Rhinolophus ferrumequinum: one gene and its partners. The protein of the gene in region 2 purifies or fractionates together with the protein of the main gene of each other region. This does not show direct contact. Links are inferred from orthologs where the notes say so. Each region holds a gene or a part of one and is shown on either strand. Other genes may lie near its edges.

Region 1 (7,439 bases), on a different chromosome or scaffold from region 2:
ACATTTTCATCTGCCAACTTAGCGTTTTCCACCAACTCGGGGAGCAGAAACCTTCACAGGCTTCACAATCTTTTGCTTAGGTGCTGCCTTTGTGGGAGCCTGTAAAAAGATAACACATTATGTGGTATTTTCCCATGCAACTTTCTTCTTTAACCGATTACCCTCCCGTATGTCCAAATTCTGCATGTACCCTAGATTGCTTTCCTATTTAATGGCATTCCCAATATTACTCTTAAGAACCCTCCCCCAAAGTTAAAAGTCCACCTTTCTATGAAATATAAATGAAAGACAAAGATACTGTCATAGACTGGATGAGCTAAGGAGACAACAAATTATTTCAAAATAAACTTTAAGAAACAAAACACCCAGAAACCAGCTATGAACATTATTTCCATTAGAGCCCTGCACCAAATTCTTTAAAAACTTGAAACTTTCATTTACCACAATTTGGATTTAAAAAAACCCCTTTCCTGTTGTTCTAAATATGAAATCCAAGACAATCCCACAATTACCTTAGCAGCAGCCATTGCTGTCTTTTTAGATGCTTGCTTAGCCTTTTTTGCTTCCTTGGCAGCCCTGTAGGATTAAAAATAACTTAAGGTAAAGCACTTTACTCCTTAAGGGTACAGCTTATTAACAAGGAGCTAGAGTGTTTGGAAAAATGGAATTATCATATTCCTTTCCCATCTCCAATTTTTAGGATAAATCCAAAGGGTTTGTCACCAAATGTCATTAACCACCAAGTCAGCATAACATAGAAATTGCATAGTTTTAACTGCATATAGAAATTTCAAATCATTTAGACTATGTCATAAACTTGATATTAAACCTAAATAATGCTGACAATGAAGGCTCCCTCACCTGATAGCTTGTTCTCGCTGAGCCTTCCTAACTTCAGGTTTCTGATTTCTCTTGGCCATTATATCAGCAAGAGACGCACCAGTGATGGCCCTCTGGAATTTGACTGCTCGGCGGGTTCTTTTCTTTTGAATTTCTTCCTACAAAACAAAAAAATAGGGAGCACACTTATGAACCTTGCTTCATGAATTTGGGGGAGAAATGAGTAAGTTTTTAAGGCAGGGGATGTGAAGTCTTTTACGATTAATATTTGTCCTAGTCCATTTGCGCTGCTGTAACAAAATACCAGACTGAGAAGCATACAAACAATGGACATTTATTTCTCATGTTCTGGAGGGTGGAAGTCAGGGTACCAGCACTGTCAGGTGAAAACCCTCTTCCTGCTATAGCTAAATCATCACATATGGGGACAGGGGAACCCTCTCTTGGCCTTTGTATTATGGATTGGTTAAGCCATCTATTGTAAATCCTGGCCATTTTTTACTACTTTAAAGAGACAGAAAGTTAAACTCTGAGGAAGTTAATTGGCTAGTACTTTAAAAGTGATTTTAGTAAGACCATTTAAAGAAGTTACTTTTGGGAAAAAAAGATCAAACCTCAACTCACTTGTTTTGTTTTTACTCAAAGTATGATCACTGGTAGAAATAGTCAAGTTAGAAAATCACGTATTTTCTACGCTGGTGACAGGAAAGCCACCAAGCGTCAGGGAATCAAGACAGTACAATCCAACCATTTGCTGCAGATTTTATACTGGAAACCTACACTACAGTGCTTCTGAGAAAAAAGACCTTGCAGCACACTGCTTAGTCCAAGAAAAATTAAAATGTATGTGAAGAACTGTTTTCTAAAGCAGGGATAATGCCAAATATCTTTAAAATTTTAAACAGACTATATAGAGAAAATAGGGCACATTTGTGGTTAACTAAAATGCTCCTTTTACTTGTTTATATTTTTCCTTCTCTCAAATCCATTTTTAAAATATTTTTTATCGTGGTAAAATATACGTAACATTAACTAGCCCATTTAAAGCATTTTTAAGTTTATAATTCAATGGCATTGAACACACCCACAATTATGTGCAACCACCACCACTATCCATCTCCAGAACATTTTCAACATCCCAAACTCTGCATCCATTAAATAATAGCTCCCCATTCCTTCTTCCCTCACCTCACCCCGGTAATCTCTTTTTGTCTTATGAATTTGCCTGCTTTAGGTACTTCATAAAAGTGGAATCATACAATGTTTGCTCTTTTGTGTCTGGCTTATTTCACTTAGTATCTAAAAGGTTCATCCATGCTAGCTGTCTGGCTGTCAGCTTTTTAAAACTGAAAAACATTCCATTTATATACCACATTTTCTTATCCACTCTTCCACTGATGGGACACTTGGATTGTTTCCACCTTTTGGTGATTGTGAATAATAGTGTTACGAACATCAGTGTACAAATTATCTGTGTAAGTTCCTGCTTAAAATTCTCTTAGGTTATGTACTTAGAAATGGAATTGCTGGGTCATACAATAATTCTGTTTAACTTTCTCAGAAACTGCTAACCTCTTTTCCACAGTGCCTGTACCATCTTAAAACGCTACAATGCACAAGGGTTCCAATTTCTCCACGTCCTCACCAACATTTGTAATTTCCCTTTTTTGATAATGGCTATCCTATTGGATGTGTCAAACCCACTTTTAAATTAGTTTAGAAATAAATTTCTCCTTCCTCTGAACGCCCACAATACCTAGTAATGTCTTTCACCCATGAGTCTAAACACTTCAGCAAGCCTCCTGGATACTAACCCTATTGCCTTAGCACTTAACTTTTTGTCGTAAATTTCTGTCAAGTAAAAAGAGCACTTCAAAAACAAACCCAGTCTTCTTGAGTACTAGTATGCTGGAAGATTCTACCGATTATCTGTGTTAGGACTAATCCGATACACATAATAATCAAAACCAAGTTCCCATAACTACTTAGTTTCCACCCACTGTAACACCTTAAACACTTCCATGGTGCCCTGTAACCCAAGTGAGCTTTATGTTAATTTATCTGACTTGGACAAAGGGACACTTTCAAATTTCAACTTGGTATTTACCGTAAGCCTAATAAGATGTATAAGGAGGCACTGTTAATATCAATCATTTTCACTTCACTGAAGCTTTGCAGTTTAGGAGCACATTCACATACCCTCTCATTTAGTTACAATTTTACAGAGCAGCAACTGAAGGTCAGCATTTAAACAAATTAAGAGAGAGCCCCACATCAAAGTGCATTTTACTTACCGACTGTCCTTTTTTGTGCTTTCTTCTATAGAGAACAGTCCAGTTTATCTGTCGAGGATTCCTCTTGGAAAGGAATGCCGACTCACATTTTGCATTAAGAAATTGGAAAACCTGTTGTGACAAGTTCAAAATATATAAGTTACCTACTCAACTATACAAAATAGAAAAGGCTGAGCTTGAAATCCTTAGCTAATTAATATTCCAGTTTTATCCTGTGCTTTTTACAAAATCGAGGCCCAGAGACCCAATAGTTTGTGTCACACAACTGGCAGTTAACTGTGTAGCACCTCCAAGATCTTTGCATTTGGTCCTGTCTTTTCTCAAGAACAGACAGAGCTAAACTCATGTCGCAGGGGAGGGTCAAATTCTGGGAGGCAGCTAGTTCCTGTTCCTTCCGGGATTCCAAGAGGACCTGGTGGGTGCCCAGATACCTCGGTGGCCCATTTCCCTCACTCCGGGACATTAGTTACACAAACTCCTACTAATTTTCGACCTGACTCACACTAGATCAAAGATCAAGAATGGCTCACTTAGAGGTTTCTGATCCTTACAACCACTACACACAGGGTCCCCAAAGCAAGCCTTTCAGGGACCACGAAACGATGTGTTAAATGACACCGCCTAGACCAAATTAGACCCGTCTTTCCTCTTAAAAGTAGAAAACGCGTTTAGCCGACGCGGCCTTTCACCTTCCCGTCGGTCCTGGCGTAGCGCCTCCCGTGTCCGGGGTAGATCTTGTACCCACTGAAACTGCACAGCTCGACCCTGTAACGAAAAGCGAACGCCCATTAGGAGGGGTTGTCTACGATGAGAAGCCATACCCAGGACGCCCGAGAGGGGTTCTGCCCGAAGATGGAAGCGGATTAGGATGCCGGGCTCCCGCTTACTTCATGGCTACGGCTGCCGGAAAGAAGGAAAGATGGTGAAGAGGAGAGGATCATGGGTAGAGGCCTTCTAAGGCCTTGGGGAGCCAATCTCCGCCCCCAATTCCCTTTTCTAACCCGGGCGCTTGGTGATGACGTCACAACTACCAGGCGACTTATCTAGGTTTTAGCTGCGGCCACTTTCTTGCGGAGGAATTCTGCAAGAGGCGGCGGAAGCTCTGCGGGGTGAGAGGGAAGTGACAGTCACCCAGGGAGGCAGGCGCTTGGTTTCGGAGTCGCTCTCTCCTACAGTCAAATGTCCTAAAGCCATCATCCTGCTGCAGGAATGTGAATTCTCCCTCTTACAGTTGAGTGACCCACAGACGAATACCCCTCAGGTAAAACTTAAAATCACATTTTTGCCCTCCGTGTTCGCCCATTTCCTCAATCAAAAACATTGAATTTTAATAGTTTCACCATTTGCAAAAAAAAAGACATCTGAACTGTTTCCCAAGCCGTGCAAATCGAGTCGTGCGTGATGGCGCGTTACATTCATTATAATTAACATTCATTGAGTGCTTTCTCTGTGCCAGGACTAATGCTAAAGCATTTACATACACTGGTTCATTCAATTTACAAAATCCCTGTTACGTAAGCGCTGTAAGCGCCTTAGTACCGCAGAACGACGACTGCGGTAGGGGAAGAGCTAGGCTGCGGGGCTGTTTCCTATTGGAGCTCAGGGGCCAGTGGTTGCACAAAGAAGGGCAAAGCCCTTGCCTGGAGGCCTGGAAAAGAGAGTTCTGATCAGACCCACCCGAAGGTCAACGCCTTAATCTCTCTAACCTTCTGTAATGCTAGATAAACTTCAGCATATGATGAATGGGGAGTGGCAAGAGTCAATCCTAGGAAACAGAAATATGATTGATTTATGCTATCTATATAAGCAGCCTTACCCTATAAAATTTCTGTAAGGAGGTAGTTGAAGAGATTTGGAAAATCCAATAAGGTGGCTCATTAAAGTTAAGAAAGCTGTACAATTATGCTGGAACCAGTCTTAAGAATGAGTTAACAGAGATCTAGGTGGAATTGAAAAGCAAAGCAAAGAGGAGAAATTTGACAGCCTGACCAAATGTGATCAGCTGTTGAGAATACCTGGTGTACTTCAGAAAGATACTGTCTACATAGACTATGGGCAGATAAATGCTTCAGCCTTACATGGCTCGATGAACTTATTCAACTCTGACATTCATCCAACTCTTTGTTTTAAATCACTGCTGATTAAACAAATGTTTGATCATTAAAATAATTTTTTGTTTTCTGAATAGTCCTGGTTACTATAAGCTCTGAGTCGGCTGGATGTAAGTAGAGGGTGGAGCCAAGATTTACCTGCAGGAATTTGGTTCTGTTTGCTCCACAGAACCCCAGAATTTATAGACTCTTTCCAAGCATTTTAGAAAGATTTTGCTTTATTGGCCTTCAAAATTGTGTTTGGCTTGACTGGCTCGGTATAGTTAAAGTGGGAAACTGGGTCTTAAGGATTTTAGCCTTTTAACTCTTCTTTCGTGTTGGGCATTCTTGAGGTAGTATTTCATGGTCCTTTGTAACATTGTGTGTATCATAAATGAAATTGTGCTCAAACACTCTTAGAATAAGAAATTATAAAGAAACTCCTAAAAACATTTTACGTTGTGTAGTAAAGCACAAGTTTCCAACACCATCCATAAATTTTTGCTGACTTTATCCTCACATTCTCTTTTATAGACAAAAGGCTCAGCTGTACTCCATTATCTTATTTATTTATGGAGCAATTTGGAACTAAAGTTGGAGCTCTTCTCAACTCTATATACCTCCTGAGAACAGACCATTCTTCTCTTCACTGCTTCTTCACCTTTTATACATACTCCACCTTCTGTATTAATTTCCCATAGTTGCTATACCAAATTAGCACAAACTTTGTAGCTTAAAACATCGGAAATGCATTTTCTTTCAATGCTGGAGGCCAGAAGTCTGAAATCATTGTCACTGGACTAGAATCAAAGTGTCTGTGCTCCCTCCAGAAGCTCTGGGGGCAGAACATGTTCCTTACTCTTCCAATTTCCACCTAGATAAACCCTCTTGAATTCCTAACCCATAGAAACTGTGAGATCATAAATGTTTATTGTTTTAAACTACTATGATTTGGGAATCGCTTATTAACATAGCAATAGAAAATACAGGAGGTAAGGAAATTGTCAAGATCAGGACTTAGTGAATAGTGGTGTCATTTGTAAAACGACAGATAAGAGTGGGCCGGCTCGGTGGCTCAGGCGGTTGGAGCTCCATGCTCCTGACTCCGAAGGCTGCCAGTTCGATTCCCACATGGGCCAGTGGGCTCTCAACCACAAGGTTGCTGGTTCAACTCCTTGACTCCCGCAAGGGATGGTGGGCAGCGCCCCCTGCAACTAAGGTTGAACACCGCACCTTGAGGGCTCAGGCTTTGTGAAAGAAGGGGGAGAAGAGAAAGCAGTATTAGGCAGGAAAAGTTAAATACATTGCAGGACCAACTAAACATCAGTCAGCCCTGCCAGGAGCTCTGGAACAATTATTGCCTGCCAGAGTATCCCATGTTGGGCCAAATGATCAACCCTCTTTATAACCCCACTTTGCTTAGTCACCAGATGTGGGTTGCTCCGGAGAGTCACGACCTGTTAGGTGGTTCTCAGCAGCTGAGCCAGACCCTGCTGACAGCTGGAGGATGCAGCTGACCACGATGCCCTTTGTTGGGCAGCAAGCCCTTGCTCGCAGAAGGATCTGGAAAGTACATCTCTGTGTTTACCACCCCTAGAAAACAAGTAAGTGCATTCTGAGTGTTTTCTTCCAATAACATTCTCTTCTTAGGTGTAGGAAGGATCTTGCCTCTTTTAGAATATACCACCATAATTCCCAGCAGGCTGATCAATCCTAAGACTCTCAGGCATTGACTTCAGGGATGGCTTTGAAAGCAATGTCTAGTAACTGGGTTAGAAAATTACCAGGTTTAAAAATTATACAGCATTAAAAATTACGAAGTATTCTTAAAAATTATAAAGTATTCTTTAAAAATATCTAGGGGGGGCTGGGTGAAAAAGGTGAAGGGATTGAGTAGTACAAACTGATAGTTACAAAATAATCATGGGGATGTAAAGTATAGCATAGGGAATATAGTCAATAATATTGTAATATCTATGTATGGTGCCAGGTGGGTACTAATGCGGGGATCACTTCCTAAGTTATATAAATGTCTAACCACTATGCTGTACCTAAAACTAATATAATATTGTATGCCAACTGCAATTGAGAAATAAAAAATAATTAAAAGAAAATACATAACAAAATTCTAATCAAGTCGTCATATGTAAGTACCAATTTATGAAATATAGGGGCCAGACAGACATGTGAAATGACTCCACTGGGATGCAGTTGG
Region 2 (7,670 bases):
TAGACATTCTCTGAAAAGAAGAAATTACCAAAAGGGATAATCTTCTTGCCTCAGGTCACTACCACAAATGGCCAAACAGTAAGGGGAACTGAACCCATGGACTCTAAAATCTGAGTGCCTGTTGGGGAACCCTGCCTTCTCAGAAAGAATCTTCAGACAAAAGATAAAGGGCCTTGCTCTAGGTCACAGAGGAGACTGCAGCGCCCAGGCAAGGATGCAGCATACCGGGACGCCCTGGGAGAGTGGCCCAGGCTGTGCCCCACTCTCACCTGCAGCTCGTCCAGACTGAATTCGCAGTACTCCCGGCGGGTGCCCTTGCCATTGGTCAGAATCCCACAGCCGCTCATCATGATGGTGCCTAGGGGACAGTGACCACCCTGGTTAGGGTATGGGTTTCCTTGAACTCAGCGACCCCAGCTCCTTGCCCCCACCATGCCAGTGGCTGGTACCTGACTGTAGGTTGGTCATGGTGGCTGGATATTCCAAATTGTTGGGGTTGTGGGTAGTGACGCCAATCTCAATAGAGCCTGACCACTTATCTACGAGCTTGTCGATGCGGATCTTGAGTGGAATATTAGCAGAAGGGAGAGGCAGGGAATGTAAATGCAGAGAAAGGACACTTAGCCCGTGGCAATTTCCCAGTCTCCACCCTTCCAACATCAAGGATCACGCCCCATCTTTAGCTCCCAGAGGGTGAAGTGCCAGCCAGACCCCAGGATCTTGCACACCTCAAACATTTCATTGTCTCGGAGCGGGCGGTTGGTCATGACAACCCCATTGTTGAATTCATCCAGGGGCCGGCGACGCTCGGCCGTCTTATTATTGTTGCTGAGTTTGATGAGAGTTCCACACTTCTCGTGAAAGAGCAGGGCATCGTTGGAAGTGAGGATGGGCGAGGTGGCAGCACAGCTAGACCCCAGCCCTTCCCCTGCTGGTGGGGAGCTCAGATTCACATTTAGGAGGCCCCCATTGTAGGCAGATAGTATGGCATTGCTCACCACCTCAGATAGCTCCATGCTGCCAAAGTCTATAGTAGCAGGACAAAGAAAGGAAGCTGAAATGAGGCTGTATACCCTCAAACCCTCAGTCTTGCAGTTTTCTCCCTACCCCTCTCCTGAAGTCCCTCCCTGTCCACCTCACTTCCCGCTCCCCTTCCCGGAACTTCCTCGAAGCCCTCACCATTATGCGACTCAAGGCTGTTAGGAAACATCTCCGGCCGGGCCTGCGCTGGGGACACCATGAAGACTGGGGACCAGGCAGGATGGGAGGGGAATAAGGGTTCAGCCCCTGCTGCACGGCCCACAGCCAGGAGACCCCTATTCTAGCTCCTACTCTCCTCAACAGACTCGGATCTGAGTGACCCTGCCCACACCCAGGGTCACTTGTCACTACATTTCCCCCATTCCGACGGCCATTCCCTCTGTCCCACCCCTCCACCACTGCCCTAACTGTGTTCTCACCTTCATCCCCAGAGGTTCCCTGTTCAGCCAAGGCAGAATCTTCATAGGGAGCAGAGGGCTCAAGGGGAGGTGTGGGAATGGGAGGAGGAGAGCTAAAGCCTGGCTCAGGGGGTAGCACAGTGATCTGGGTGCACTTGCCGTAAAGGTCCACAACAGCCCAGACACGAGCAGGCAGGCCTGAGGCGGCCACACCACAATCCCGCCCATTCACCCAGAGCCGCAGCTCCCCTGCCACCGTACGCTCCACGCCCACACGGTCCCCTTCGCCAAGCTGGTCCAGGTCCTGACCATACTCCTCCAGCACAGAACGTCCATCCCTCAGCACGGAGCAGCCCGACACTACCCACGAGCCCCCCTTCAGCCCAGTGGCGCTGCTTGGGAAGTCCAGCACACTGGGGTCCAGTGCCGTCACTCCAATTTCAATGGAGCCACTCCAGGAGTTGACCTGTGATGGGGTGATGGATACAGGGTCAGGATGGGTCTCCCACCACTAGGCAACCACATTTTACAGGCCACTGCAACCCCTCAACCCACCTCTCAGACAGCTTCATTGGCTTTTTCTCTTGAGACATGAGACGCTAATCCAGAGATGCAGTCCCACAAGTAATTTTCTGGACTCTGTTTCAGGGATTGTTTAGTCTGCTCTCCCCAGCAACTCTGCTCTGTACTGTGGGTACTCGGTGTCTGCAATACCAATCCTTTCCCCAATATGATGGCCAAATTCCCTGGCTTCAGCCCCCTGCCTCCTCTAACTTTGCTAAGCTCTGTGGTTCCTCAGCCACCCAAATTCACAGCTCTCTGCACCCATATTCTTTGCTCTTGTATATAATTTTCCTCCCCCTGGCCTAATTCTCTCCTGTCTCTGGCTCCACTCAGATTCACTCTCTTTCCAAATTCTGGTCTCTTTACTAAATTACACACAAACACATACATACATCTCCTTCTCCCTGAGTAGCTCTCCTTACCCATCTTTCCTACCCAACCAACCCTGAATTTGTCCTTCAATGGTCTGTTCTTTCCTTGATTATCTCTCTTCTCTGCCCATCACATCTCTGACATCTCTCCATCTTCCATCTCCCAGAAATTGTTCCATAAGTTCTGTTCCCTACTCGTTCTAGTGAGTGAGGCCCCGTGTCCCTTCCCTGCTCCTGGGTCTTGGTAAAACTAAAGCTCTTCTTGTCTCCTTCTCCTTCAGACTGCATGTTTCTGTTTCATGCTCCCTTCTTGCCTGTCACCTGGTGTCCTGTCTGTCGGTTCCCTCTTGGTACCCGGTGATGTGAGCTAACCTGGCTGTCCTACCTCGTCTCCCTCTGGTCCCCTCCCACCACCCTCCATATTTTGATTCCGGGGCCCCAGGTACACACCTTGCGGTCGATGCGGACGGTGAAGACGCGTCCATCGCGCAAGGGTTCCCGGCTCAACACCAGCCCGTGGTTAAACTCCTGGCCCGGCTGCTGCCGCCGCGCTGTACGCCCACAGGCCGACAGGCTCACCAAGCGCCCAGTGCGCGGGTGCAGCTCCCCGCCGCTGCCCAGACCCCCGCCAGACCCCGGTCCTGGGCCGCTCCCAGCAGGGCCTCCACCCCCACCAGGTCCGGGCCCCGGGCCTCCCCCAGAGCCCCCACTCCCACCCGACCCCGCCGCCATCGCCGCTGACGCCGGGGCCGCGCGACAGCCGCGCTTGGCGGCACCGTGGCAACCGCGGTGCACAGATACCCTGAGGGAATAGGACCTCGGGCTGGGGGGGGTGGGCAGATATGCTTTACGGCACGGCCAGGCCCTGAAGCATCCCGAGCCAGGGAATTAATGACTACCACGGTGGAAACAGAAGGACGACGGGGTCGGGAAGGTTTACTTTACGGCACGGCAAGGTGACGGAGTGGCTCCGAGAGGGGTGAAGACTTGGGCAGGGAGTTTTTGCGACAGTGGAAGAAACGACTGCCGCAGGCATCTTTACGACGGAGGGGTGCGGGCACCTAAAACTTTCAGCTTTACGACAGCGGCACCAACGACCCCGCCCCCGTCGAGGCAGGCGACATCTTTTAGTATTCGCTTTACGGCAAGGAGGAGGTGTCTTTTCTTCACGCTACACGCTTCAAAGTGGTGTGAGTGGGAACCGGTAGATACATAAATGAAAATCTCTGCCCGCCACACCACTGAGAGGGGATATGTCTTGCGACAGTGTCGCAATCCCTCCACTTTGTATCCCATCTCTCGTGAGAGGCAAAGCAGGCCGACTTTTAGGGGGAAAAGGCTCACGGATGTTTCCAGTGAAGCTCATCTGGAACTCCAATCCAATCAAACTTAGATTTTAAAGCCACAGATAAGTCCAAACAAACCCCGGCAGTTTCAAGCAATGGCGCTGATAGTGCCCAAAGATCCCCCAGAGCTATTAAGCCCCCAGCCCAAATCCGATGCTCGCACTAGGGTTGGAGGACTGACGTCACAAGGCCTCTGGCCCCAAGACCAGGACCCCTGACTATGATTGGACAATTAGGATGAGGGCGGTGATGGGAGAAGGGCGGGAACAAATCCCAGAGACAAAGAAGTAAGATTTGGGGGTGGGACAAAAAGGGAAGGGCAACTGGAGGGGCTCCCAGCCGGAGGTCCCTATATAGTCTTGATTCCACCCACCGCGACTTCGTGGAGCAAAGCGGGAGGGGGCCCGGGCCATAGCCCAAGCTTCCCCCTCCCGCCGCGGTGGAGCTATGTGGATGGAGCAGGGAGGCAGGACGGGGTAGCTGAGAGTGGCCCCCTAGTGGGGCCATGGAGAAGCAGGAATCTCTGGGGGCTGCTGGCGGCCTCAACCGGGGAATCCTCTGGAGGGGTACTCAGGGCAATGCCAGGAGGCATCAGAGGAGTGGAGGAAGGCGCCAGGCCGCCCTCCGGAGTAATCTTGTCTCACTGTTCTGGGCGTTCCCGGCACTCCGGGGGAATCGTAATTTGCAGTCCTGGTTCTAGCCGGTCCTCCGGGGTGGTAGAGGTCCTCGGTTCCGGGCCCAATCAGCATTCTGGGGAGGTTGCGGGGCACAGCCTTGGGTCCGGCACACGTCCTGGCGGATTTAATCCCCCCTTTCCTGGAACCAGTGTATCCGGGACGTCCGGCCTTGGGTCCGAGGAGCCTGGGGTGCACAACTCAGGATGCAATCTGCTCTCCGGGTCAACTTGCTTGCACCCCCACAAACCCTGTGAGGATCGTACCCGGAGTATCCTAAAAGATTGCTGCTCCACTTTGATGTGTAAATCCCCCAGTGCAGAAAAGTAAGGATCCCAGCTCAGCGGGCAGGCAGCTCTCAGCCCAGAGGGAGGGGTTCCGGACATTGAAGGGGGCGGAGCCAGGTGGGAAGGAGCGGAATCCTGAGGACTAGATGTGAGAATAGGTGAGGGCAACTGGGAGGGAAATCTGAGTTTCCAAATCTTTGGGAGAGCAGCAGATACCAGATAAACTCCGGCTACTAGTATGTGATTATCATTAGGTGTGACCCCATCCCTGCCTCCAATGCCTCTGGAACTCCAAGGTGGTAAAAGGATAAGGTTTTGAATGACTGAAAGAATTAGGGATGACTGTGAGGAGCATGCTACTAGGATTCCTCCCCCTTTTTTGTGTCCTTCCGCCACCCCAGGAAAAAGTCTCAGCACTGGGATGAAATGAACATCATGGCCACCTACCACCCTGCTGACAAGGACTACGGATTTCTGAAGGTGGATGAGCCCAGCACTCCCTACCACAGGTGCTGAACCTTCAGCCTCAGCCTCTAGCCCAGACTCTTCCTTATTCAAAGGAGGGAATGGGGAAGGAGGCGGAGAGGCCTCAGGGACTGGATCCTGCCTGCTACCCCGCTCTCACACTGCTTCCTCTCTCCCTGGCAGGCTGCAGAACAGAGATGATGAGAACCCGCTTCCAGGGTCCTCCCACACAGTGACTCCTGAGGCACTAGCACAGAGGTGAGAGTCCTGCCAGATCAGTAGGGATGTGGGGCGTCTTCCTCAGACCTCAGAACTCTAGAGTCTTAGCTAGCTCTGCTTTTTCGCCCCCCAGCCCCCGAAATGAGAGGTACTATAGTTCCCATCAGGCCAAGGCTAAGGTGGGGAAGTCAGCCAGCTTGGCCCCATCTACCATCTGCCCCCATTGTTGTTTTCTCCCTTCAGTGCCCCCAACTAATCTCCCTCCCATTCAGGTTTGCAACAATGGACAATTTCTACCCCAAGGTCCTCCAGTACAGTGATAACAGAAGCTCAGGGTCTTCAGACGACTTTCCCGAGACAAGTGAGATGAGGGGTGGGGATTGAATGGAAAAGGGAGGTGGAGTGATTCTTTAGTGAGAGCATGGCGGGGAAAGCCGAGCTCTTAAACTGGCCCACAGACTTCAGTGATTTTGAGAAGCGCCGCAAGGCACATTACAATGAAGGAACGTTCCTCAAGACTCAGAAAAACCTGCACTTGGGTAATAACAAGAACAGCAACGGGGGTAATGTCAGTATGGACGGTGGCAGTCAAGGTGTGATGCTGGACCCAGGGCCCAGGACTGTGGAGAGAGGCTCGGCAGGAGGACCGGGCAGAGGAGTCAAAGCTGAGATTGGCCTGATGACCAGGAACCACATCCTAGAAGCCAAGGGTTAGCTATGGTGGGGCCCCAGGGACTCAAGGGAATTGTAGTCCAGAGCCTTTTCCACCATAGCCTGTCTTCCTCAGGGGGCATCGATCGGCCCAGGGCCCTGCTGCCTGAGGGGGAGGTAATGCTGGGAGGTGACCCCAGGGAAGACAGAGGGGCAGCTGGGGTGGGTCCCCCCTGAGGATAGTCCCCAGGGAAGGCTGGCTGGTGAGGAGGAACAGAAAGCCCAAGAGAGCTGTGGGGGATGGAGAAGTCACTGAAGGTTTTCTAAAATGGGAGGAGGTAATAGAAGTGAGATGAGAACCTGGGGCTTGAGCTTCTCCCCTGTGATGGTGGTGGCAGCGGTGGTGGTGGTGGTCACAGTAGACACCTGGGGGGCCTAGATACCCTAGGTGGCCATAAGACTCAGATAGATTTGGGTGACTCCTCAGATTCCTCTACCTTCAGAAATCAGTCCCCAGTTTCGGCCACTGTCATGTTCAGCAAGGAGGTTGATCTGCAACGCAAGGAATATTATAGCAAAGGAAGATACCTGAGGTCTTGTCCCCACCCAGAGCTTGAGGAAGACACAGAAGATGAGGAGCGGGACAGTGAGAACTGGGCTGGGTCAGCCTGGGGGCGGGAGGGCTGAGAACCAACAGACTGATGGGTGCCCTAACCCTGATCACATGATGCTCTCAGGCTCCACAAGCTTGAACCGGGTGAGTGAGAATTCCATAAGAACTGAGGTCCATTTGCTGGACCACACAGGAAGCCCCCTTCGGGATCCTAGGCCATCAAGAACTCCCTGACAGTGACAGTGACACCACTGCAGCATGGTGAGGGCACCAGGCCACCATCTCATTGGGCCTTGCTCTTGGCAACCTTCCATCCCCCTACTCCCTACTCCTTTCAAGCCAGTAGATCAGCAACAGGTGCTAAGGCTCTAACCTTCCTGGTGTGCAAGGCCCACATTGTACAGACAGGAACCAGAGAGTCCCAGAAGGGGCTGGGACCCCCTCCAGCTTGGCACCACGTGCTGGCCCCATGCCTCTTTCCTGACTCCTCTCTGCCACCCACCCCACTCCTAGTACTGCCCTGTCTTCCAAAGACAGTGGGTCCCAAGCAGTGTCTGGCTGGTGTCAGTGTCTGGCATCCAAAAGGCTGAATTGCCAAAGCCCAGAAGGTTCAGAGAGGAAACCTAGAAGCAACCCAAACTCCCCAAACCAAAACCAGTGCAGACATGAGCCCAGGCAGGGGCTGCCTGCACTGGCCAGGGAGAGAGAGGGGCTGAGGGTAGGTTGTAGGAAGTCTGGGGGGGTCACATGAGCTAGATCTCATGCCTGCTGCAAGAAAACCACTAACCCAACCCCTTCTCTCTCCAGATGAATCCCTGCGGCTTCGATGGACTCAGGAGGAAGCCAGACAATGGAGAATATAGCCAGCTGGAGATGGGGTGGGAGCCAACCTTCTCCTGCCCTTACCACCCTACGAGTAGAAAATAAAAAAGAAGAGCAATAGTGTGGGTGCTATGAATTGCATGCCTAGACTGGGCCTGCTCAGTCACTGAGGAGAGGGGAGGAGGGAGGAAAGTTCACATACAGGAAACCACGAGAAGG
Region 3 (7,945 bases), on a different chromosome or scaffold from region 2:
TGGGAGGTACTGTGAGCATTCTCATTTTCAGATGAGGAAGCAGAAATAAAGAAACTTGCTCTGGGTTACACAAAGAAGGATATGGTAGATGCTGCACTATTTATTAATCACTGTGACATTACTATGGACACTACAGAGGCAGCTGAATTTCTCCCCCTTCCTCACCGCTTAAAGTTGACGTGCATCCTTCCCTTATCATTTCCCAGAGGCCTTTGTGTATCTGCTGTACACTTAAGTGCCTATAAACAACCTACAGCACTCTACTAACGCACAGTAAACATTCAATAAATATTAGCCATTGTTAGGTACTGGGTTGTTTTGAAACACTGGATTATCAAATTTATCAATGTTCTTTACGGGTAGAGAGTTTTCTATCTTTTTAAAATCTTTTTCTATCCCCCATTTATAAACACATACACCCATATTTTCTTCTAAGCTACAAAGGCCACCAGGGAGGAGGGAGCCACAACGTGGGGACTGCCTACCCAAATCTATCCTTCTTCTCTGCTGGCGGAGACTGGCCCTTGCCCCAGTGTTCAGTTTCTCCTGGGCTTAGAGTAAGTGGACTACTCCCAATCCCTCTGTCTGCGTGCGTGCGTGACGGAGGCTTCTGGGAAAGAAACGTGGGAGAGGACGTGCAGCCTTTTCTTGAGATTAGATGCTGGTGTGTAAGAAGGTGATGCCTGGGGTGCAATGGCCACCTGGCAACCGCACAGAGGACTAGTACAGATATGCTGCAGATGGCAGAGCAGATGGATCCATGAAACCTGAGTCCTCCATGATCACAAACTGAATGGCTGAAGAAACAATCCCGGAAGTCACCTCTCCCACACACACTTGTCATGTGAGAGGATAACCCCATTATTGTCTGCGATATTTGTAGTAAACTCTCTATTACACGAAGCCAAAAGCATTCTAAGAAACACCCAGGTGGTTGGAATAGACAGATTATGGAGTTTGAGAAAGACACAAGATAGAAAGGTGTTTGGATTTTATCTAACTGCAACAGAGAACCACTGGAGGGTTCTAAATAAGGGCAGGATAGTACAATCTGATTTATACTTTAAAAAGGTACTCTGGCCTGTGTGGAGAATGGACTGTGGGTAAAATTTCATCACTGTCACTATGCGTAATTGTGTATGCTTTTGGAATACATTCATTTCATCTCTCAGTCCTTCTCTATCTACAGAAGGCCATTCCCTTCATCTTGAGTTCAAAAGAAATATATAGTGTATTTCCATCAAAGTTTGGTTTTTGTCCTGTTCTTTCTCCCTTTGCATGTTTGCATCTCATAATTTATATTCTTAAACTTTCTATGATGTGAAAAATCACGGAAGACTTTCTGACAATGGTAGAACTCTTGGGTTGTTTTCCTATAGTGTCATCTTTCTTTTCATGACAATTCTATCTCCTGTGTAGCTATGTTACTTCATCTGACCGCTCTGAGTTTTAGTTTAGAATATAAAATACACCCTTCAATATCTTTAGATTTCTTTTTAAACAGAAGGCTTAAAGAGCTGTTCTGCCTCCCTTCCATCGCAAAGAACCACGGGGAAAGAAGCACAAGAGAAGTTTAACTTGGTTTATAAACACAGAGTGAAGTGCGCTCCAGTAAATTACAGGCTGCCTTCCAGACTCCCTTCCTTCTTCACTTATTTTTTTTAACCTTTACTCGGAGATGATTTTAAAGGATCAAGCCATCTTTAGATTCTTGGCCTAAAGATCTTACATGAATGGAAGTCTCATCATGGGCCAAGCACTTTGTGTCGACTGTCTCACTGAATCACAACCTACTAAGTGGATGCCAATAGTATTCCCATTGTACAGATGGGGCAATTGAGGTCAGGGCTAGGACTAGAGTGAAGGGAGGTGTCCTAAGGTGCCTGGCCTGCCATACCCTAGTCATGACTCTAACTGGGACACACACAACTTAAGTAACTTGCTCCTTATACAACATTGTCTGTCCCTAGCTGGACAAATAAAGGATACTCAGCCCACGTTTTCCCATCCTGGAACAATTCTAATCTATGACAACGTGGATTGGGGCTTGGAATCAGAAGGCTGAATTCAAGGAGCCATGTATTTGAGTCAGTTTTCCTACCCATTCAATGTTAAAATAATGTCTCAAAGAAACGAGAGGACCAGATCTATTTCCTCAGATGCAAAAGAACCTAGACAACGCAAAAGCTCTCTTGCTATGTAAGCTGTCATTATTATTGTATTATTATTGTGAAGCTGCGAGACTGCCAGGAGAGCCCTGTGAAAAGGGGAGGCAAAAATTCATCAGGAGTCCCGCTGACATGGTTGTCTGAGTGTCAGTGTGTTTGGGGGAAAAGGTGATAAGGAGATGACGTGGGCAACGGCTGCTCCTGGGGAGGGGATCCATTTAGCGTGAACTCAACCACTGATCAAGCCTCTGCTTAGCCTGGCCACGTTTCTTCCTTCACTCCCACACCAGCCTTCATTTTATTCCTTGAAGTCAGGCCACAGAACTGCCTATTCTGTCACCTGAATATTCCAACACCCTTCCCACTTCAGGACTTTCGCTCTTGCTGTTCCCTTTTCCGGGGACGCCTTCCCCCCAGATCCCTGTCTGGGTCTTTCTCATAATCTCGATTTCAGTTCGCACGTTCTTCTCTTCAAGAGGACGTCTCTGATGACTGTCTAAAACAGCTTAACTCCTCCTCTGGGTCATTCCTTGTACCATTACCCTATTTCTTTTTTGCGCTTTTCGCTCTCTTCAAGTGTCTCATTTATGGGTTTCCTCGTTTAAGGCCTGTCTCTCCCACTGCAAGGCAAGCTCTGTGAAAGCGGGGCCCTTACGGACTTGTTCGTGTGTCCGCGGTGCCTGGCACATAGCAAACATGTCAATATTTGCTGCTGTTCTACAAATTCTTGAAGACTTTCCAGACTTCAGAGGGATGTTGGGCCACTTGAATGTCTTCCTGGCGGACGAATGGGGTACTGGGAAGGCTGTCGTGAGAAGACTGGGGAAGCTTGGGAAGGGCAAGCAGAAGTCCAAACTCCCAGGAGCGGCGGAGGGGCGCGAGGGGGGAGAGATGGGGGTATGGGGAGGAAGCAGGGGGGGGGGGGGGCTCACCTGCCGAATGGCCGCCAGCGTGTTTTCGGGCGCGTCGTGGCTGCCGCCGCGGTGGGCGATGGCGGCAACGCGGTCCCGGGGCTTGAGCACCTGCAGGGCCCTGCGGGGGGGCACAGGCTCAAAGCTGAAGAGACGGAGCAGAAGGTAGAGGCTGCCGGTGAAGAGGCAGGCATTGAAGGGGCTACGTGTCACCAGCAGAAACAGCAGCAGCAGGAAGGAGAAAGGGCCCAGGAGGCCCCCCTGTTCCTCCCACAGCCACATGCCGGCGCCCGCACCGGCACGGACGGGAGTCCCGGACCCGCCGGGCTCCTGGGACAGGAGAACGAGAAGCGAGGGCGAGAGCCCAAGGCACTCGCCGCAGGGGACACCCTTCAAAGGGACTAGCGCCTCACAATGGCGGCGGCGGCGGCCACATCCCTGGAAGGGGCTGGGAGTCCAGCCAATCAGGGCCCGGGATCTGCGAGGACGGGGGCGGAGCCACTGCCATGGCAACGGAGGCGGCCCCAGGCCCCAGGCCCCAGGCCCCAGGCCCCAGGCCCCAGGCCCCAGGCCCCAGGCCCCAGGCCCCAGGCCCCAGGCCCCAGGCCCCAGGCCCCAGGCCCCAGGCCCCAGGCCCCAGGCCCCAGGCCCCAGGCCCCAGGCCCCAGGCCCCAGGCCCGCATTCCAAAAGTCCAAAAGTGGCTTTTGGGTTACTCTGGGATCTGGACTTCAACCTGAGCTTTCAGACTCCGGAAGGGGAGGGATACGAGAGCTGTTGTATAGTCGTAGGACTGGATGGGATCTTAGTGACTCCTTCAGTCTGCCTTCGAGGACACCGCCCAGCAGTGAACAGGATCTACAGGGTTCCTACTCTTGCGGGGCTTACGTAATCGTGGGGGAAAATAATTGTGTTCGGGGGTACAGCTAACATTCATAGAGCACCTACCATGTCCCAGGTTCTGTGCCAGCGAACGCTTCAGTGGGTAGGTATTATCTTCACAACAGCCTCAGTGGGTAGGTATTATCTCAGGAGACTGAATTCAGTTGATTTTTAGGAGGGTTTTTCAGACTGAGGGAACGAAAGGGCATAGCAAAATGAGCGAAAACCAGATTATAAAGCTGGAAGGCATTTGAATGATTCCCTCCTTGTGCAAATGAGGAAACTGAGGCCAGGAGAGGTGAAGCGAATTGAGCCATTAATGGCAGAGTTAAGACTGACTCAAGCCACCCCAGTTTTAGGCCAGTGACTTTTCCACTGCTACTTCTCCTCCTAACCTTACGTCCTGCCAAGGGCTGGTCATGGGGCTTACGAGCCAGTTATTGGGCGAGAATTATCTGCTGCTCCTCATAACCACCCTTGTGACAGTCACTTTTAAAACTCTCATTTTACATATGCAAAAATAGGCACGGGAAGGAGCGTCAATAAGAGAGGCAGAGCGTAAAGTCAAGTTACAAAATGAAAGGTGTCACTATATCATTTGTAACGGTAGAGGCGCTAGCTCGCAGTGAAGACTACGTTTCCCGGCGCGCACCGCGCTTCCCGTAAGTACCACGCCCTTCATCACTGGCCTAGGAGCCTTACCCAGGCGCGCAATGCACCTCGGGGACTGTAGTTTTCTGGTGGCCCAACGGTTTCAACGGCCCGGGAAGCAACCACCGGAAGTGCCCACCCTGAGAGGTGGAGTCTGGGCGGCGGCGGCGGTTGCCAGGAGCCCGCGTTGCCGCCTGAGACCCGTAATATGGCGGGGAGGAGGAGGAGGCGGCGGCGGTGGACCGAGCTGCTCTCTGTCAGTACCAGTTGAGCCATTTGCTTCCTGACAAGGCCTGTGGTGAGGGGAGGAAAGCTGACCCAGCCGTAGGAGATCAGGTGTGTGCGTGAGGAGGGGCTTTGACTCCGAGGGTCCCGCCACCGGGCGAGGCGGACCTGGCGCCCTGAGGAGCTGAGGGCGGGCTCCGTACGGAACCCGAGCGCCAATGCTGGGCTCCCGGGCCTCGAGCCCCTGGAAAGGCGCCGGTGTGGGGAGGCGGGGGCCCCGGTGCCCGTGGCACCCAGCGCGGAGGTGATGCTCGGATGGTGGCACCACCGCCTGGTGGGCCCTAGGGATGGAGCCTTATCCAAGGAGCTGGGGGAGGTGGATGTGGGGCGCTGGCGTGAGGGTCCCGGGTACATAAACTCCGGCCCGAGCCTGTCTCCTTTTGATAAAACTGGGCCTATTTAAATCACCGGGCCACGAGGCTGGCGAGGGAGGCGTCCCCAGGGTGTGTACTGGCCATTTCTGCACGCGGGTTACCACAACCGGAGGCCCTCGGAGCGCTGTTTACTCTGCCTTCGCGACTCTCTGGGGGCAGAAGCATGAGGATAATAAAGCAAATTATCTTGATTGCCTCTCATGCTGCTACGTGGTTCCCAATCTTTGCTTCTCTCTGGTTTTGATCCAAGTTCCCTACCCCCCGCGTTGAGGCAAATGACAGGTGCTAGAGATTGATTCAATGGGAAGGGGTCTGGAAAAATAAGAAATGAGGACGCTGTTGTCCCCCTTTCCATGTTTTACAGTTAAGTTTGAATCTTACCAGGAACCACGCACTGTTCACTGCCCTCCAGGAGTTCATAATTTAGTGATAAGCCACCATCATCATCATTATCACCATCATCATCTGCATAATAAAAGCAGCCCCCCCCCTTTTATTGATGCTTTCTGCATGTCCTGCAGTATACTAATTGCCATCCGTGTGTTAGTTTCTTGAATCCTCACAGGATCTCTTTGAGACAGATGAGATTATCCCTATTTTACAGATGAGGAGACTGAGGCATAGAGATGGTAAGTGAATTGCCAAGAACTTACAGCGAGTGTGTGCCTGGATAAGAAACCTTCCCCTGTATGGCCTCTGCAAGAGGTTTATGTCTTTGGGAGGACGGATGGGTAACCAACCATCTAGAATCTCTAAACAAGGCAAGATCTGTTCTGTGTTACTTTTACCATTCCCTTCAGTGATGTGACTCGTAAAGCACTGGTGAGGAACAGGGCGCAGGCGCAGGGCCATGAGTCGAAGGGGTTTGCAAAGAGGCTTACTTGGAGAAGGGTCATGGTATAAATGGGAAAGACGAGGCATGTCTGAACTTGATGCAGCTGACAAATTATTAATGCACGTGAGCCGGTAATGCCTGATGGTCAAGTATGGGGCAGTAGATTTGTGGTTGGTGTGGCCGTGTAGTCAGGGCTCCCTAAAAATAAAATCCTGCTGACAGAGGTGATTGTATTGTGAGAAAGGCGGCTCCCTCTTGCTCAATCGTGCAGGCTATGGATGCTCACTTTGTAAGTGGCTGCCTTTGCAGTTCAGAGGTGCCAGTTTCTGTGAGAATAGGGTCATCCATGAAACTACCACTCTTCCTTGCTAGCTGCCTTGCTATCTAGTCGATCGCTGTTCATCTTTTTCCTGGTTTGCATTATTCTTTGAGCTAACTACCCTGATGTATTTGTTCAATACTTTTATCAAGTGCTACTGAGTGCTGGCGCTGTTCCTGTGTCATGGGGATTCAGTGGTGAGCAAGAGTGAGAAAGCACCTGTGCTTATGGAGCTCGTGTTTCACTGGAGAAAGGCAGACAAAAACCAAGGCAACAAACAAGATAATTTCAGATAGTGGTAAGTGCTGTGGAAATTGGTAAGAAGCAGTATAATGTGGTCGTGACTGATGCAGGGTTAATTTAGATGGGGGACCAACAAGCTGAGGCTGAAGGATAAGAAGGATCCAGTCATGCTCTTCTAGGATCATTTGGTAATTTCCATAGTCAGCATATTAGCACTTGTATTTGGATATTTCATGCAATAGCAGATGCCACAAGTTATGCTGAAATAATAATAAATTACGGTCCACCTGCAGTATGTATGACATACATGTACTGTTTAAGGGATATGAATTTAACTTTCTGAAGCAATGAGGCATATCTATGTGACATTGTTGAAAGAAAACTGAAACTATTGTAAAGATACTTTGTTTCCTTAAATTTCCCAGACCTTTAAAATAGAATTTCATTCTTTGTTTGTGTAGCCATAGGAAGTCTATTAACATTAATTGTATGAGTAATCTATTTATGTGCCGTAAAATGCTGGATGCATGGATTGTGGTAAAAAATATTTGGAAGTATTTTAATCAAAATGGGGTCGTTTGAATTTCTCTTACGTCTTAGCTTCTGCATATTGTGATTGTTAAGATAATCGTAATCATAATGTAGGTTGGACTCTAGACTGAAAATGGAGGCCTTGCTATGGTGACATTTCTGTGAATTAAACGCTCACTTTGCATAATTTGAATATGGAAATATTTAGAATTGATGGGATGGTAGGAAGAAGTTATTAAGACTACCAGTTGGTCAATCTAATCATAATTTTCATATGCTTTTTCTTCATTTCTAATTGTATTATAATTTGTCCCTGGCACTTCAGTGTACTGAATTTTTAAGTACCTGGAGGCTTAGGACAGTATCATATTCTCTCTTATTTCATCTTTGCATATCCTACATCATGAATTGAATCTCCCTGCCCTCTGTCTTTTGTTAATTAATTAATTGTTTTAAAATGAACACTGAAAGATACATTACTGTATTAGTTTTTCTGTCCTCACAGTTCATTCCCTTGTTGGTTATGAGTCTGATGATGACTCCCTTTTTATTTTCCCTTGCTTATTTAAAGGAAACAATGCCAGACATAATGCTATGGAAACAGGCAATCAAATATTTAATGCTTGCTAGCTGAATGAATATGGTGGCTAATCCTTCCTGGTTCCCTTGTATTTTCATAGCCACCATTACACTTTTCCAGAAATTGTGAAGTTACAGGGTTGATTGTTTTAAGTAGTTTGGCAATGGT
Region 4 (7,906 bases), on a different chromosome or scaffold from region 2:
TTTTTTATTTTTATTTTTTTAAGGATGGGGTATCTCACAGTGGCCCATGCAGGGATTGAACTGGCAACCTTGGTGTTATCAGCACCATGCTCTAACCAACTGAGCTACTAACCAGCCACCCCCAAATAAGTCACTTTGAGAAGATAAATAGTATACAAAGAAAAATGAGGGAATGGGGAATTTTTTCTTCTCACTTTTAAAACAACCTGTTACTCTCAATCTTCCTTTTTTTAAATCTTATTTTAAGCCACAATGCTACATGATAGCTTTTTAAAATCAGCCAAAATATCTTAATTACCAAACATCAGTCAGTGCATGTCCTAAATTTGGAACTATACATTCAGCTTATCTTTAAAATAAAAATACTGATGGAAAACAGTGCCTATAACAATACCTATTTCAAGTTGTCTTTATTAAAGCAGAAAACTCATATAGATCAGGAAAAAGCACTATGTATGTAATTCCATCAGAATGAAATGCTCATGCTCAAAGCAATATATGATTACATATTTCTGCACCTTTACAGACTGATTTAAACTAGCTTCCAGATATTATAAAAATAACTTTTACATTACCAATGAAGATATAAGGTTAATTTCTACCCACATCATAAAAGTACTATCTGTCCTTTGTAAATACTCTGTAATAAACCTCAATCATAACCGAAGAACTGCTAGTATGAAACATTTAACTGTAGGCACTGACCAGCAATTTTACCTTTCCTCTCAACAAATGCTACAAAATTCCACCTGTAGGATATATGATAGCCTTCTAAAATGCAATTTAAGAAGCCATTACTTTTTTAGAGAAACTGTGGTTCTGAGACAGGGAGAGGGAGGGAGAGAGAGAGAGAGAATGTGGATTATAATGCGGACAGAAATATTTTAGCCTATCATTTTAAAAAAATACAGTGTATAAAAAAAAGGCCACGTAGCAGTGTGGGCAGGATGAGTCATCACCCAACTCAAAACTTGCAGCACTTCAAGCTTCCTCCTACCCGACCCTATCCCCTTCAGCAATGTACCCTGAGTCAGCAAACCTTACCATTTTGTCAGTTATGAATTCTCACGATGCTTAAATGAACTTATGTAAAATGCTACAACACTTTTAGTACTAACACTTGTCATTAGAACAGGTGCTTTTTCTATTGCAAAATTAATTGCTCTTCAATCTTCTCTAGATTCTTTAATCACAGAAGGTAGTCAAACACTGCTTTTCATCTTCTTTTGCAAATAACTGAACTCCAAAATGTGGTCATACACAGAGGGTGCCAAAACAATGTATACACATTTTAAGAAAGGAAAAAACTGTATTAAAGTTGTAACACTCAATATATACTGATCACAAAAGATGAATGCAAATCATGTGTATACATTTTTTTGGCACCCCCAGTTATAAAGGTTTTTATAAATAATTCTCCATTTCCCACAGTTTTTTTCTGAATAGCAGTATCTGGGTGATAAAACATGTTTTACTCAAATTTGGCATTTCCTAGATGACAGCAATTACTGAATTTAGGACACCAATAAGCAATTTTACAAGTTTCACAAGGCAATCCTTATTAAGTGATGTAACATATATGAAAGGACTTTACACAACTTGGCACATAGCAAGACCTTCATACACATGTTTGAACAACGAATCGTTCAAGATATGTTAAGTTTCTTCCACCCAATTATTTTTCTAACGTTAAAATCTGACATTTCTAAGAGAAACTCTAGAGGCAGTGCCCTCTTTGGACCCTACATTCATCTAGTCAGATTACTCTTTCCATCTCAGTTTTCCAACGTTGGAGAGACGCTATGTCCAACCAGACCTTTAAAATATAACAAGAATCAAGCAATCAGAAAATTACTCTGAAGCAGCCTGCGTTCCATTTTGTCCCCTGTTAATTTTTTTTTTTTCCCTCTCAACGAATCACCTTGTATCCGTAATAGAAGTTAATACTGAGACTGACTTTTAAGGGCATTTTTTTGCACTGAAGGAAAGAACATGAATTTCGCTACAAATTCAGTAGGTTTCTAATTCCACATCACCAGTTTTCTTCACTGGACCTTTTCCAATAACAAGCAAGAGAGAAAAAATAAGACAGAAAAGAAATCAAAAAGATCCTGCTTCACAGAGCTCCCACATAACACCTGAACCAGACGAGTCTTACTAAATAAAACAAGGAACAAAAGGCGGCCAAAACACCTTTACTTTTCAACGCACCACACCAAATCAGATAAAAATGCATAGCGAAGTCAGAAGGCCCTTTTTAGTGAACGGACAAAACAAGTTTTCATTTGGGTACTTTCACCCACCACCGCTCAACGTCCCGAAAGCGGCTAAGGCAAGGCTGCAGGAGAGCGGAGGGAGGAAATTAGGAATTCCCACTCAGACCAGTTTTCTGTACCTCATTTATGGCTAGACTCAAAACTTGGGCAGAGGACTTCATGGCTCTGAGACGAGCCGGGTGAGTGGTGCGCGCTACGCAATTTGCCGAGTCCACTGGAGACTTTGCCCGGCCGGAGTCAGCTGAGGCCGAGTCACCGGAATGGGATGGGGGAGGAGACCCGAGAGCATTTCGAAAGGCACCGTGCCAGGAAGGCGAGACTCCGCGCCACCTCACGCTCCCCGCCCGGGCCGCCCCTCCCGGCCGCCGCCCCTAGTCTGCCGGCCGGGCTTCGAACCTGAGAAGCCCGGGGCCCGCAGCAGCGCCGCAGCCGGCACGCGGGGTCCCCGGGGCTGGCGGGCGCGGCCCGGCCGAGCTGTCGGCGAGGGGCGTGCCGGGTGGGAGGGGCGCGCCGGCCGCTCTGACGGCCCCACGCGGGGACCCCGGCCCGCCGCCCGCCGGCCCGCGAGGGGACGCGCCGGCCAGGCCCGGGCTGGCGGGCCGGCGGGCGGGCAGGGGGCGGGCGGGAGACGGAACAAAAGCGCCTTTGTTGAGCGGCGGCCGCCGGAGGGTCACACACAATGGAGCGAGCCGGCTCCGCCGCCGCCGCCGCCGGGCCCGCCGCGGCGCCCTCCCGAGCCGCCCCGCCGGCGCGCCCCGCACACGTACACACACGCACTTACGGGACTTCTCCGAGTCATCGAGGGAGTGCGGGACCCGCGGACAGCCCCCAGGGTCGGCTCAGGTCTCCGGCTGTGCTGGCGGCACCGGTGTCTCCGAGGCTCTCGCTTTGCCGCAGTCGCCGCCATGTAACCCCGACCCGCGAGAGAGGGCGAGGGAGAGGGGGCGCGGCCTCGTGAAGCTACGCCCCTCACGTCACAGGCTCACTCCACGGGTTCCCCCGCCCCCGGCCGGCCCCGCGCGCCTGCACGCGTCGGAATTTCCAACGCTTGTGACTGGGGGCCGCGCGCCGCGGGGGTGGCCCGAGAAGCACGCGGGCTCATCAGCCGCCTCCGTGTGCTGGGCTGGGCTGGGCTGGGCTGGGCTGGGCGGCCGGCGGGGAGGTGGCCAGACGGGCCTTCTCTGCTCGGCTACTTGCTCTAGCACTAGACACAAAGTGGCTAAAACTCCTAGCGTTTACTGCGCACCTACTACATGCAAGGCACTAGGCAGTCCAAAATGAAAAGGCCTTCATCCCTGTCTCCCGGATGAGCCGGAAACAAGAAAGCCGGACCTGAAGATGGATTGGCTAGAAGGCAACAGCCGATTTACAAGGCAATCGCGTTAGAGGCCAAGTGCTAAGAAGGCCATTAATTCTGCCTGAGGGGGTGGAGAAAGGCTTCTAAGTGAGGTCGACACAGGTGACCTTTCAGCTGGATCGGAAGAAACCGATATAACCAGAGGAGGTGAGAGGGAGGGTGTTCCTGCGGAAGAAACAGCAGAGAAAGAGGGAAAGCACCTGGCTTGTTGCAGGCACTGGGACCAGGCCAGTTTTACAGAAGCGTAGAATTTGGGAAGAGCTACACTGGGACATGTAGTGGGAAATGTGGATTGGTGCCTATTTAGATGAAAGGCAAACTTATTTTATTTATCCTGGCTTATTAAGTCCAAGGAGCCTTTCCAGTGTTTATGTGAAATTTATGTAGGTATTTATTTATGAAATGAGAGACGCTGGCCAGCATATTTTTTCAATGACTTAATTCCATTCCTGATGAGAACCAAACGTTTGGCAGCCTTTATCCATTATTGTGCTCATCTTCAAGCGTGAGGCAAAGACCACTTCAAAGATCACATAGTGGCTTGAAGTTAAGTGATTTGGAGGGAACTTGAATGTTTTGTATTTAAAACAATACCATCTGAGTACCAGGTGTGAAGAGGAGATTGTGAGTAGATAAAACCGAGAGAAAGGGGAGGCTTGTTCCAACCCCAGGATTTCTAATTTGTGGATGCAGCCTCTACAACAAGAGTTCCTTACCTGCAACCACTATACATCCCTTACTGATCCAACTCTAGTCTCCCATCAGATTCGTAAGACACCTTTCCTCCCCATCCATCAATGTTGGATCACCAGGAGGAAGAGGGGAGGAAAATAAATAACAAGCACTGTGTCATCCCTGGTGGAGTTTAAAATGTAGTGTCAGCTCCTGACTTCCAGCAAGGACCACCCAAATAACCTGTTAAGCAAGCAAAGCCAAGTTCATTGCTTACAGCAGTAAGAGATCATTATGTTGGTAGTTAGAAGATTCGGAGGATCTGGTTTAAGACAGGTCTTTCAGTGAAAGAGCATGATTGAGATTGAGCTAAATTCATGAGATAATCATTTAGGATGAGTGGACACGGGAGAGTTTTGAAGCAAGCCTAGAAAAGTAAACAGTTGGTTGCTAAACCTAACAGAGTAATCCTGTTGAAGAGGGAGCTATTTACCCTGATGAAAGTGAGATCAGTCAATAGTCTTGTTCAGGAAAATGGACTTTTTTTTTTTTTTTTTTGAGGAAGTTCCTGAAACTGCAATTAAGTTAACTGTAACTTCTTCTTGGGCAAGAATTTCTTGAAATTAAAGTCGTTTATGCAGACAGTTGAGTTGTAAAGTCAGGTTAATGTAGTCAGCCTTAGTTTTTAATCCCATTGTGTAGCTGTAAAGTGTCAGTTTTCTGTAGTTTTTCTCTACTTCCTAAGTGAGTAGTGAAATGATTTTGGTGATTATAATCTGCATTTTTTAATAATGAAATAGAATGAAAGACTAGGGAGCCTCACCCATAACAAATGGTAAACATTGTTTTGTGAAACTTTTGTTTCAGTTCTGTACCATATTTCAACAAATCTATGTCATCAATTATGACATGCCATTACTTTATGTACTATTAAGAAAGTGAAAACTCTACCAAAATATGATAGCCTATTGCTACATCTTGATTGCAGAGATATTAAAATGGAGGAAATGCTTCTTTAAATTGATGAAATGTATATATAAGTGTGCATACAACATAAAATGTATTTTCACTCTTACTGTTTATTATTGCTATGAGCCATGCTATTGTTAAAAGAGTTTGAAAGCCCTTGTAGTGAAGGAATACAGGAGAGGAACAGGTAAGTGTACACCATCAGGTAGCATGAGATGCTTCCTAAGCAAAGATGCAAATTACCTGCGTTTGTTGGAAGTAACAATTAATAATGATTGTAAACATCCGGAAAGCTTCAGTTGGAAGAGACAATATTTGATACTTCCATCAGGAAGTATCAGGAAAAAGACATTTCTGGATGAAAGAGCAGAATGTACAAAGGCATGAATGTGCCTGGCACACTTTGGAAAATGGGAAGAGTCTGACAGGCCCCAGGGAAATGAAGACAAGTTAGCACTAGAATGAGAAAGCCTTGATTAGATGCCAAAACTTCTGGATTTATGTAAAGGTAGTAGGAGAAGAATTTAGATGATACAACTAGTTTTTTAGAACAATAATTCTGGCATGGATGGGAAGGATAGATTAAATGAACAAGAGATTGGAGATAGGGAGAGAGTAGGAAAATCCATCGTTTTTTCTGTCCTGCATCCAGCCTACTTTACTATGGTAACAATATGCTGATGTTCTTTAAGGAGCCACCCTTTCTTGTGTACAGTTCTCTCTCCCTTATCCATGGTTTCATTTTCCATGGGTTCAGTTACCCATGGTCAACCATGGTCCAAAAACATTAAATGGAAAATTCCAGAAATAAACATTCATAAGTTATAAATTGTGCGCGGTTCTGAGAAGCGTGGTAAAAATCTCCAGCTGTCCTCCTCCATCCCACCAGGAATGTGAATCAATACCTTATCCAGTATATCAAGCTGTATGTGGCTACCAGCTACTCATGCTTTAGTCACTTAGTAGCCATCCAGGTTAGCATAGGACTGTTGAGGTATCATAGTGTTTGTGTTCAAGTAACCCTTATTTTAGTAAATAATGGCCCCAAAGCCATTCACGTAACTTTAATTACAGTATATTGTTATAATTGTTGTTTTATTATTGCTGTTGTTAATCTCTTACTCTACCTAATTTACAAATTAAACTATCATAGGTATGTGTGTATAATTTAAAAACATAGTATGTATAAGGTTCAGTATTATCTGTGGTTTTAGGCATCCACAGGGGAGTCTTGGAACATATCCCCTGCGGGTAAGGGGAGGACCACTTTGTGAGCTACAAAATAGGAATTGTGTGATTTCACAAAGGAGTTAAATGCTGTTATATTTGTATTTCAAACTGGCATTGTACAAAAATTAAGTCTAAAATTCATGCTAATTTTTAATTTTCCTTACTTAGAATGATATTAAATCGTTATAATAGTTAACTCTAAATTTAAAACACTATAACACATCAAGAGAGAGAGACTAGAAGAAAGGAAATAAGCTTTGTATTTTAATACCTTTAGCTGCTTTTTTCCCCTACTTTTGAACAAGGGACCCCAGAAATTATGTAGCTGGCTTTGAATCACCCCCAAAAGAGTCCCAACAGCCCTACTCTGAAGAAGGTGGGTCAGGGAAAGACTCCCCAACTCCCCTCAACTCCCCTCACTGACAAGGCTAGGGCAGGAGAGGCAGAGAATGGTGGATAAGGCGTCCAAGGTCACAGGCCCAGCCACCTACACTCAGAAGTTGCATTTCCTGTAGTAAACACACTCATGGAGGTAGGAAGTGGAGGAGGAAGGAAGACCTTGCTCTGCTGCTGAGGCATCTTTTCCGGTGGAAACAATGTTATGGGTCACAGTTCTCACCCTCATGGTTGAGCTGCATGTGGGCTAACTGGGCTTTTAAGAGTTGTCCTGAGAACCAACCGGTATTTATCCCATTGCCTCTCTGGGGAAAATCATTTTCAGTTTCAAACAACCAAGTTAGAAATCAACTTTTGGTAGCATAACTCAGTCATACAGAGACTCTCTGTACCATCCTAGCTCAGAAATGCTGAGACCATAGAAAATGATGCTGTTTGTAAAACCCAGGTAAATAAATGTTACTGAGAAGGTTATTAAAAGTCATAACTTCACTTTATCCTCTGGGTGGTATGAAGAATCCAGTCCTTAAGATTTACAGCTTGAAGAACTTGATTGCGGGTTCACCAGGGTTGATTGGTCTCTGGCAACCAACACACCAAACAAACCCCAGAGAGTGTACACTGGAAACCAGATGCCAATCCATTAAGAACACAAGAAAAGCTGTGCTGAGTTGGAAGATTCATCCAGTCTGGCATGCTCAGACAATGACTGTGAACTTCTGTATTTATTCATTGTAAACTAGTATTGAGCACAGTACCTGCATACAGTGTTCTTTCAATAAATGTTTGTTGAAAATGAACTGTTTTTGAATATTGCAATTGCCCTCTATGACATAAACTTCAGAAAGGTAAGGCTTTCCTCCATATAGTCGTTTATTTTTAAAGCAACTTTCTCTTTAGGGAATCTATTTGGTTATTTTAGTTGCCCTTTTCTATGACCAGGTATATCTACTAGGCTCTTTTTTAAGGTTTTGGGGTAGAATTAGATGAATGATTCCAGGTATAG

The links. Proteins that work in one complex are often made in the same cells at the same time.
Region 1: the proteins of NEURL4 (region 2) and CEP97 purify together in Homo sapiens (affinity purification with western blotting; 4 studies listed by BioGRID and IntAct, with this or other methods). This does not show direct contact. The link is inferred for Rhinolophus ferrumequinum from reciprocal best matches to the Homo sapiens genes NEURL4 and CEP97.
Region 3: the proteins of NEURL4 (region 2) and CCP110 purify together in Homo sapiens (affinity purification with western blotting; 4 studies listed by BioGRID and IntAct, with this or other methods). This does not show direct contact. The link is inferred for Rhinolophus ferrumequinum from reciprocal best matches to the Homo sapiens genes NEURL4 and CCP110.
Region 4: the proteins of NEURL4 (region 2) and MAPK6 purify together in Homo sapiens (affinity purification with mass spectrometry; 6 studies listed by BioGRID and IntAct, counting the BioPlex papers as one, with this or other methods). This does not show direct contact. The link is inferred for Rhinolophus ferrumequinum from reciprocal best matches to the Homo sapiens genes NEURL4 and MAPK6.

What each region holds. Positions count from the first base shown.
Region 1 is NC_046285.1:30,664,564-30,672,002, forward strand, and holds the start of CEP97 (centrosomal protein of 97 kDa), read left to right. Parts: upstream 1-4,211; 5' UTR 4,212-4,395; intron 4,396-6,647; 5' UTR 6,648-6,828; intron 6,829-7,439. Other genes in the region: RPL24 (60S ribosomal protein L24), read right to left, coding at 19-99, 513-576, 862-998, 3,135-3,245, 3,824-3,899, 4,022-4,026. UniProt on the Homo sapiens protein: Acts as a key negative regulator of ciliogenesis in collaboration with CCP110 by capping the mother centriole thereby preventing cilia formation. Required for recruitment of CCP110 to the centrosome.
Region 2 is NC_046304.1:11,514,999-11,522,668, reverse strand, and holds the start of NEURL4 (neuralized-like protein 4), read right to left. Parts: upstream 3,122-7,670; 5' UTR 3,107-3,121; coding exon 2,825-3,106; intron 1,906-2,824; coding exon 1,461-1,905; intron 1,246-1,460; coding exon 1,180-1,245; intron 1,028-1,179; coding exon 729-1,027; intron 562-728; coding exon 450-561; intron 359-449; coding exon 270-358; intron 1-269. UniProt on the Homo sapiens protein: Promotes CCP110 ubiquitination and proteasome-dependent degradation. By counteracting accumulation of CP110, maintains normal centriolar homeostasis and preventing formation of ectopic microtubular organizing centers.
Region 3 is NW_022680357.1:15,414,239-15,422,183, forward strand, and holds the start of CCP110 (centriolar coiled-coil protein of 110 kDa), read left to right. Parts: upstream 1-4,717; 5' UTR 4,718-4,946; intron 4,947-5,816; 5' UTR 5,817-5,898; intron 5,899-6,575; 5' UTR 6,576-6,721; intron 6,722-7,945. Other genes in the region: GDE1 (glycerophosphodiester phosphodiesterase 1), read right to left, coding at 3,101-3,361.
Region 4 is NC_046289.1:55,959,445-55,967,350, forward strand, and holds the start of MAPK6 (mitogen-activated protein kinase 6), read right to left. Parts: upstream 3,229-7,906; 5' UTR 3,058-3,228; intron 2,544-3,057; exon of another isoform or gene 2,396-2,543; intron 1-2,395. UniProt on the Homo sapiens protein: Atypical MAPK protein. Phosphorylates microtubule-associated protein 2 (MAP2) and MAPKAPK5.